2 linked regions of the Drosophila melanogaster genome follow. The protein of the gene in region 1 purifies or fractionates together with the protein of each later gene. This does not show direct contact. Each region holds a gene or a part of one and is shown on either strand. Other genes may lie near its edges.

Region 1 (4,835 bases):
ACCACCACTGCAAATCCCAATGGGCCCACGGATGACACCGAGCCTGGCTCTACCACCACACCTGGCGTAGGAGGTGACACAACCCCCAGTGCAGGAACATCTCCGGGTGGTGAAACTTCGCCATCATCCAGTACAGGAAGCACCACCAATCCCATCTATCCGACATTGCCGACAGGACTTCCTGATCCTGAAAAGGTGAGTGAAGTGCAAGAAAAATATATTTCACGGCTATAAAAGATGTTAGTTCAGAAAAACCCTCACACAGAGTGGGAAAATTTTCAGCGATTAGACGTAAAGTCGGCATGGCTACTAATTTCGAATTTATTAAGTTCCAACTTAGTCTTACTGGTCATTTCAAGTGCTTATCGCTTGGCTAGCGTTTTTTTTCCTCTTTTTTATCATAATACAAAACGGGTCTAATTTCTTGGGTCTTTTAAGTTAGTTTAATTGCGGCTAACGCAGTGTTAGGAGCCACAAAAATGGGACACATGCAGGACAGGATTAAGGGTATTTATTGATAACGAAGGAAGTTTTGGGAAAACACCGATACCGATTCATGTATATTTTCATAGACTTGATCACCGCTGAGCGCGTGGCTATATTCTTTGGTCTATTATCGACCTGCTTGATCGTTGCCCTTGTCATTGTGGCCGTCCACAGGGATAATTTATTGCTGCAGTTGGACGAAGCCAAAAGGATGTTGGATGTTCTGGAGGAATACATTCAAAGCCACTTGTTGTCCACCATTTCGGAAAGAAATTCATAAGAATTAGGGTGCTGGCAAACATTCAAAAAGATGGCTTTCAAATCCATATCTATTTCCAAAAATGGTTAAAGCAATAAAGCAATAAAGGCAAACGGATAAGAAACCAAAATACGCTTAGGTTTCAATATTTGTGTAGTAGAGCTATTGTTGTTTGATATCTGAAATTGCACCTAATAAATTAGGACCCTAATTTCACAACATTTAGCCACTATATCCAGCTAAGGCATATTTGTTGCAACGACGTCCACTTGGTTTACGACCTGACCACAACAGTGCTATTTCCTATCGCCACCTTATCAACGCATTGCTCACTTAATAGGGCCAAAGCCCATTATCGATGGCGTGGATATTAAATAAACTTTACGACCCCGCAGATCGAATGGCGCCTGCCCACGGAACTGACGCCCATCAAGTACAAGGTGTACTACCATCCCGACTTGACGACCGGCGCCTGTGAGGGAACCGTGTCCATTCAGTTCCAGCTGAACGCGATCACCAACCTGATCGTCCTGCACGCCAAGGAGCTCAATGTGCACAGCATCAGCATCCTGAACATGATGGCGCGCATACGCGTGGCCATCGATAGCATCAACTTGGATGAGTCCCGGGAGCTGCTCCTGATCACGCTAAGAGAGGTCCTCAGTATGAACAAGGCCTACACACTGTCCGCAAGTTTCGACTGCGATCTGAGCAGTCTGGTGGGCAGCTACATCAGCAACTACACGAATGCCGATGGAGTAGATAGGTGAGTAATTTTAAGGTATATCTTGCGATGACAAACATTTTGTTAGCATGTCTAGACTAAGATGTCAGGTATCTTTATTATATCGTACTATTTATGTAGCTAAGATCGTATCTAGTGCACTGTCCGCAACTAGTACGATTGCAAGCACACTTGTGAATACCCCCAATGCATTGGAGATCATCGCATGTTGGGGCCATAAAAAAGCCGGTCTCAGCTGATGAGAGAGCTTTCCGGAGAAGCTCGAGTGCCGTGACAACTTTGGAGCCCGCTTCAGTCGGAAGTTCAGAGCAGAGCGCGACGGTCGCGATAGAAAAGAGCGGACTCCGTCTGCAAATACGATCTCAATTACGATTCTCGCGATTCCCCTTTCTTTTCGCTTTTCTTCGTTTTCTCGGATTTCTCGAGTGCGCGCCTACGATTTGAATCAAGAATGATAGCTGTCCGGCAATTGCCGTTATCAAATTAGCCGAGTGAATATTCCTCGGACCCGGCAAAGTTACAATTAATGCCATTCGTAGACAAAAGAAAAACGAAAAACGAGACACGAAAAGCTGTGATTTCAACTGTAAATCAAGTAAAAGGCATAGTGCGAAATGTGACGGGAATAATAGATAATAAGTGGCCCATATCAATCAGATACCGTTGAGTCCGCTCCAAAAGCTCCACGCCAATACAAAATGACCATTGTCACCGCATCGCCGTTATGCGATCAAAATTCTAGTTTTAATTGGGCGCATTGAGGCGATCACTATTTTTAATATTCGCTGAAATGTGACCACCGGATTCTATGCCAACTTTGACTTTCAACGGGTATTCGTTTCGATAAACAACGGGCCATCGCAGGCTGGCCAAGAGAACTCCACATGGCTGAATCAAACAGGTTGCACCGCTCCCTTCCCCTCCCCTCCTTCTTTCCCACACCCCTTTGGGACCGCTGCAAACAGGCTTGGAGCCAAATGCATACATAGTTCACTTGCCGCGCAAGTTCTTGGCCTTAAATCGGCCACAATCGATGCACAGCAAAAAAAAAAAGAAAAGAATTATATCTATCGTAGCCCATTATCAGATTATATTGGTATGTCTCTTATCAACGAGAAGTAGATTCTGTTCGTAGTTGCATTCTTTGACATTTATCAACAATTGTTACCAATCTGATTATAAGAAAAATTAATATCACAGTTTTTTTAATTATCAATATTATCAATATTATAAATTGTATATATAAATACAATTACGGCAATTAGACATTTTACTTCTTCATTAGATCTTCAATTTGTATCTTCGATTTTGTTGGTAATCATTTGCTTATGATTTTTTTTGCTGTGTATCTGTGGTTGTTGGCCAGCAAATGCGTCGTGTTTACATCTTCAATGCGGCAAATACTCAATGGCCGCTGAGAAAATACTTTCTTCAAAAAGCCGCAACAAAATGGGTCGACATCATTGACTGCCAAGAAACTTGTTGTCATAGTAGCTTCCCCTACCCGTTTCTCGCTGTGTTTCCTGGGTTTGTTTTGTTCTTGAAAGTTCAGTCAAAGCTCGGTGGTCAAACCTTTTTTTCATTTTCATTGACACTGATTTCTTTTTCGTTCTTCTTGGGCGAAATAGAAATTTTTTTATTTCCAAACGGTGGGAAAGAACCTTCGAAAGTGGAGGGCTTTTTAATTGGATTTTTGTGCTAATAATGTAAATTAACGGCTGTTGTTGGCAGAATTGATAAGGCACTTGACACCTTTGGCGGTGTGTAAATTATACAATTTAACACCTTGAAGTTCATTGATCTACATGCTGAAATATAAACAATTTCATTGATCTTCTATTTATAAAATATTTATTTATTTATATTTCAATGAACTGTTGATAAAGCTTACATAAATATTTGTAAATATCGCATGGTTTCGAGTTTCCTATTTTCCAATATTGAAGTTATTTATAAAGTGTATATCATGAAATCTATAGCATTAAATTAAGCAAGTCAAGGCCGAAGTTTCCTCTCCGATTTTATAGTTTATTTGTGTTGAAAGTGATGCAACCCATTGATTAATAGTAAATTTATTTCGCATTCCGTTAACCCCAAACATGCAAATTGTGGCAATCATTTCTTTGTCAACGCATCTTCCTTTTATTTATTGTTTTTATTTGAATTTTCCCTTTGTGTATATCATAAATTGCAGGCACGTATAGTCGACCATTGTCAATTTCATCCCACCGCGGGTGTTATGGGTAGTATTTCTTCCATGTCTGGGATTCACTTTGAGTTTTTGGGTGTTTCTGGGGCGCACTTGTCACGTATAACTTTGTGTTTATTGTGAAAGTTATGACCTTAAAAAGCCCGAAGAACGTGTTTCAAATGTAAGCTTTCAGTTTCGAATTCCAAAATTTAAAAGCATCTCTGCTCTGAAGTAAACAAACATATAATGGAGTGACAAACAGGGATATTTATCTGAATGATCTGAATCTGAATTTATCTGACAACACAAATTGTTACTGTTTAGCATAAGAAATGATCCACGTTTCTTATATCAAATAATGTTTAGATTAATTCCTTTTTAAGCTGCTGTATTGCGCATTAGTTTTTTTTTTCTGTGTGCTTTCGACTCGATCTACAAAGTAGTGAAATTTATGCGACTCATTAGCGAAGTATGAGAACTGTTATGTTATGGCTTGTGCCCCCGCGATCATCGCTTCATCGGCTTCAGAATGCCGAGATATTCACATCTGTGCAATGGGGCGTGTCCGATTGGCTGTTGGAAGTCGGAGATATATGAACTCATATGGTACATATGTATATACCAACCATTGTCTGCAGATCTTCTGGTTGCTTTTTTTCCGGCGCTCATAAGGTGGTAGTCATGCAATTTTGTTGACTCCGATGTGCGGTGGCTTTGTGCGATGTGCGCTCCCTAATTGAGTCAGCATTACATCATCCGCGGAAGATGCAAGGGGGCGTATACGTATTATACCATGTGTATCAGAGACAATTGCCTGCCGGCTGGTGAAAATTAGCATATTCTGCAGCCTCGAATTCCTCAATTCGCACAATTCCGAGTGAATGGTGATCCGTGTGATACTTCAGCTGCATCGCGTATTGTTCTTTTTTTTTTGGCTTAATACTCCTATATCCTGACATCATTTTCGAAAAGCAAGCCGTGGATCATGACTCTGCGGGCAACTCAATTCATTTCCAATGCTAATAATGGCATCTGTAATTTCTTGCCATCGCACAACCTGCGGAGATTTGTGCAACAGACTCCGTAAATTGACAGGCAAAAAGCCAACAACCTTTTGTGATCCGTCAATCAATCGTACACAGCGAGAAAAACTA
Region 2 (5,228 bases), on another chromosome or scaffold:
CAAATTCCTGCGGTTGGCCCACAACTAATGAATAGTTTGGAATGTTCTTTGGGGCGGAGGCATCATGTGTTTTCGAACCTGGCCGCAGAGTGCTTAAGCCAAAATGTAAAATTTAAGCCAGCGGGTAATTAACGCATACCCACAGCTCATTTTATGGACCAGACTTTCGCCCATAAAGCCAAACAGAAAGAGTGCTTGGCGCCTTTTACAAACTTGCGTGGTTTTTAAGACTTGTTGGTAAAAGTTTGGGTTTTTTCCTTTTTTTTTGTTCTGTTTCGCCGGTGAAAGCAGGCTCTGCACGTGTCCTGGCCTAAAGCTTTTGCTTTGGCCCATTTTCATTCTAATTCAATTCACACTGCCAAGTTCGCAGAAGCACACACTTTTCCACAATTTATAATTAATTAAAGCAAGTTTGTCTTTTGGGCTGGAATCTGGAGCACATTTGCCATGGCTGTCGTTGAATATTCAATGAAAAATTACATTGCTCGGATAAATGTTTGCGTGCAGTCAAGTGTTTTCTAGGAAAAGCCAACTTCAATATACTCTGCAATATATTACTATATTACATACATAAGTGGTATGCATGGTTTAAAAGAATCTACAAAAAATCGTATAAAATATTCTTGCCTAAGTTATTTCAAACAAAAATTCAATTGATGGTAGTCAAATTTGGCTTACATTGCTTACCGTACATAGTTCATAAACTGAAAAGATGGTGTATCTGCTGGAACATCGACATTAGCAAAACAAAGTCGAGCAGAAAAGTCATTTTCATGTTGTTATGGCCAGAGTGCAGAAATTGTGAAAATTCATCTTTTCAATTTTCGCCCGAAACCCGCACATTTATGCAAACTTGTTACGCTCGTTTTTGTTGCTGTCAATTTCACAGATTAATGCGCACACATTTCAACGCCAAAGTCGGCAGAAACATTTATTATTGACAATGGCCAAAAGTTTGGCCATTCGCTTTGCTTTTTGGCCAACATCGTTCATTTGGCCAGACGGCGTAGCGACAAAAATTGATTTACAGTATAGATATTTTAATCATCCAAGCTCTCTTGCCAGTTAGTTCTTAGTTACATTCAGCTACACACTGCCATTTCAAAAACCAAATTTATGGGCCATGTCGAAGGACGAGCCCTCTGCTCCAAGCCAAATTTATGGCCTCCCATTCGGCGATGGGCGGTTCTTTTTAAGGGGGCGTGGCAGCCTGTTGAGCAAGTATTCGGTGTTATTTCTATGCGAATAAGAAGCTTTTCCGGTGGCCTTCGGCTTGTTTACTTTGGGAGTTGTATTTCGCGTGGTCGCAAAAAGGTTTCTCGGATACTTTTTCGGCAAAGACAAAGAAATTCAATTTAAGCTTCCTACCCCGGAACTAATAACTCTTCAAAAAGTTGAAAACAATTAATTGGTTGTGGGTATACATTAGGCAGTGCAGTATTGAAAAAAAATCAGTATATGTATCTAACAAGCTCAATACAGTTTCACGTTTAACAACATTCAACTGAAAATCAACAATGGTATATTATTTTATGCAAGCAATTAAAAGTATTTCTCTTATCATTTTGCGGCTCAACAACTTTTGCGGTATTGCACTTTTTGCTTTTTCAGAAGCTATCGACTAAACCACAACGTTTGGATTTGTGAGAAAAAAGGCTCGACCATTGCAGTTTTGCGGTTGGGACTTGATAATGAATATTTTTAAAAATATTATTTTTATATTCGGACTGCTAGTTAGCTATAAAATGAGTTCGGCTTCCTGGGAAAATCACAGTTCTGCAACTGGCTTCGTTGAGTGAAGTTAAAAGTGTAGTTGAAAGTGTACATCCATAGAGAAAACCATGACTAACACGGATCTGAAAGCCTTGGAACTTATGTTCCAGCGACCCCTGGAACCGGCATTCACCACTCGTGACTCCGGAAAAACTGTATTGGAACTGCCCGATTCCTTCTATACGGATCGCTATCGCAATGACACCGAGGAGGTGGGCAATCGATTCTCTAAGGACGTGGATCTGAAGATCCCAATTCAGGAGTTGAGCAACGTTCCCAGTCTGGAGTTCACCAAAAAGATTGGTCTCAAGAATCAATTTTCGCTGTTTAACAATCGCCATCGTGAGATCGCCAGCGAGCTGATCACCCTCTTCATGAGCGCACCAAATCTCAGACAATTCGTGTCGCTTTCCGTTTACACCAAGTAAGTACTTGTACTAAAATAAATATATATGTATTGTATAATGTATTAATTTTTTAGGGATCGTGTGAATCCTGTGTTGTTCCAATACGCCTATGCCGTCGCCGTTGCCCATCGCCCGGATACGCGTGAAGTGCCCATTACCAACATTTCCCAGATCTTTCCGAGCAACTTTGTAGAACCTTCCGCCTTCCGGGTTCGTTTAAGTTCTTCTTTATTTGACCAATCAAAGTCTTTAATGGTGTATTTATAAATTTGACCACAGGATGCCCGTCAGGAAGCTTCTGTTATTGGAGAGAGCGGCGCTCGTGTCCATGTGGACATTCCGCAAAACTACACGGCCTCGGATCGCGAGGATGAACAGCGCCTGGCGTACTTCCGTGAGGACATCGGTGTTAATAGCCATCATTGGCACTGGCACTTGGTCTACCCGACCACCGGACCCACGGAGGTGGTCAACAAGGATCGTCGTGGCGAGCTCTTCTACTACATGCACCACCAGATACTCGCGCGCTACAATGTGGAGCGCTTCTGCAACAATCTGAAGAAGGTTCAGCCGCTGAACAATCTGCGTGTGGAGGTTCCCGAGGGCTACTTCCCCAAGATCCTGTCCAGCACGAATAACCGCACCTATCCCGCCCGAGTGACCAACCAAAAGCTGAGGGACGTGGACCGCCATGATGGGCGTGTGGAGATCTCCGATGTGGAGCGCTGGCGTGATCGCGTGCTGGCTGCCATAGATCAAGGATACGTTGAAGATGTGAGTTGGGCCCGTTTGGAATATTGAGCATAGGTCATAGAAAGCACTAGAAATTTTTATTTGCTAATCCATAGTCTTCTGGCAATCGTATACCATTGGACGAAGTTCGTGGCATCGATATCCTGGGCAACATGATTGAGGCATCGCCAGTCCTATCCATCAACTATAATTTCTATGGCAATCTACACAACGAGGGGCACAACATAATCTCCTTTGCCCACGATCCCGATTACCGTCACTTGGAGGAATTCGGTGTGATGGGCGATGTGACCACGGCCATGAGGGATCCAATCTTCTACAGGTGGCACGGATTCATCGACACGGTGTTCAACAAATTCAAGACTCGCCTGAACCCGTACAATGCCGGTGAGCTTAACTTCGATGGTATTACCGTGGACTACATTGAGGCCAAGATTGGCAAGTCCAATACCAAGGCCAACACCCTGTTGACCTACTGGCAGAAGTCGAGTGCCGACTTGGCAGCTGGCCTGGACTTTGGACCAACGACCGATCGCAACATATTCGCCTCGTTCACCCATCTCCAGAATGCCCCCTTCACTTATACATTCAATGTGACCAATAATGGAGCCAGACGAACGGGTACTTGCCGTATCTTCATCTGCCCCAAGGTGGATGAGCGTAATCAGGCTTTGAATCTGGAGGAGCAGCGACTGTTGGCCATCGAAATGGACAAGTTCACAGTTGATTGTGAGTAATAACTGTATTTCTTAGTATATATATTTATTTAATATTTTGGTATTTAAAAAGTGTTTCTTTCGTACAAAGCTAGCCAGTGATTTTAGCTTATACTTTTCCCTACTGACAACCTCCTACGATCTATTAACATACTTTAATTAATCCCCAGTGGTGCCTGGTGAGAACACCATACGCCGCCAGTCGACAGAGTCCTCGGTGGCCATTCCCTTCGAGCGCTCATTCCGCCCGGTTGGAGCAGACTATCAGCCCAAGGCCGCCGATGAGTTGGCACGCTTCAAGTTTTGCGGATGTGGGTGGCCACAGCATCTCCTGCTGCCCAAGGGCAATGCCCAGGGAATGGTCTTCGACCTGTTCGTCATGATTTCCGATTACTCGCAGGACTCCGTTGAGCAGCCCAAAACGTGAGTGCTATAAACCCAATTTCCCATCATCAGCTGACATTCTCCTTGTCGCCCATTAGACCCAACGATGCCTGCAGCACGGCGTACTCGTTCTGTGGTCTGAAGGACAAATTGTATCCTGACAGACGCACCATGGGCTATCCCTTCGATAGGCGCCTGCCCAATGCCAATCTCACCGAATTGGTCGGTGCCTTTGGCAACATGGCCAAGACCGATTTAAGGATTGTCTTCAATGATCGTGTGATTGACAAGGCCTAGATGATTGCTCCAACTAACAGAGATGATTTTAAGAATCAATGGAAACGGACTTGAAAACGGAAAACTCTTGGAATCATATACACTTTTTGCTATTAACTTATAACTAACCAAACTTGTGCGCGTTTATGTGGTGTTTTATCGTTTCTAATTACACTCTACAAAAATAAATGTATTGTAATATGTGCAGGCAGTAATACAAGCGAGTATTGACACCTAATGAATGCAGTGGGTAGATAGCTTTAGCCAAGAAACTTTTGGTAAGCTTATAATGTATCTAATAGTCCCAATTTACCACCCGGGGAGACCAAAGAATTTTACAGATTTTTATTTATTACTTTTTCAAGGCAAAACAGAGATTACTCGTTTTCGTTGGCCTCAAGCAAGCCAGCCATGGATATGATAAATATTTACTGATATAAGAAATCCTCGTCTAGGAATATTCGCATGCCAAATATTTGCTTAGCAATATTGAATATTATTTATAGCAAAGAAATACAGATACACAGCCGCAGAAGGGCGTTTATTTGTCATAGACAGACACGCCCACATTTGTGCGAACTAATCCTATTAGACTTCAAAGCGCCTTGCTCGACAAACTTTGCGATTGCCCATGTCCAGGAGGCCTTGGCGTTCCATCCACCCACCAAGTGTTGAGGGAAAATAGAAAAAACATCCTCGCAAAACAGCCAACAAAATCGCTGCACGTGTTGCGTTTATTAATTTTTGGCTTTTACCAAGTCGACGGCCTTAATTAAGCATCCACTAGATGTGGATAAAGTTCAAGACTTTGGATTAGCGCAGCACAACAGCTGTCTCAAACAAATTGATTTTTAATAGATTTTTATGGCTGCCTTATCTGGCGCCACATGACGTATACGTGATGAAATTGAGTTTCCGA

The links.
Region 2: the proteins of CG32473 (region 1) and PPO1 purify together in Drosophila melanogaster (affinity purification with mass spectrometry, with the first as the bait; one large-scale study listed by BioGRID). This does not show direct contact.

Annotation. Positions count from the first base shown.
Region 1 is NT_033777.3:13,302,986-13,307,820, forward strand, and holds the start of CG32473 (uncharacterized protein), read left to right. Parts: upstream 1-1,778; 5' UTR 1,779-2,085; intron 2,086-4,835. Other genes in the region: CG43208 (uncharacterized protein), read left to right, coding at 480-507, 573-766.
Region 2 is NT_033778.4:17,886,514-17,891,741, reverse strand, and holds PPO1 (prophenoloxidase 1), read left to right. Parts: upstream 1-1,768; 5' UTR 1,769-1,841; coding exon 1,842-2,197; intron 2,198-2,254; coding exon 2,255-2,390; intron 2,391-2,459; coding exon 2,460-2,954; intron 2,955-3,028; coding exon 3,029-3,662; intron 3,663-3,819; coding exon 3,820-4,072; intron 4,073-4,131; coding exon 4,132-4,330; 3' UTR 4,331-4,522; downstream 4,523-5,228.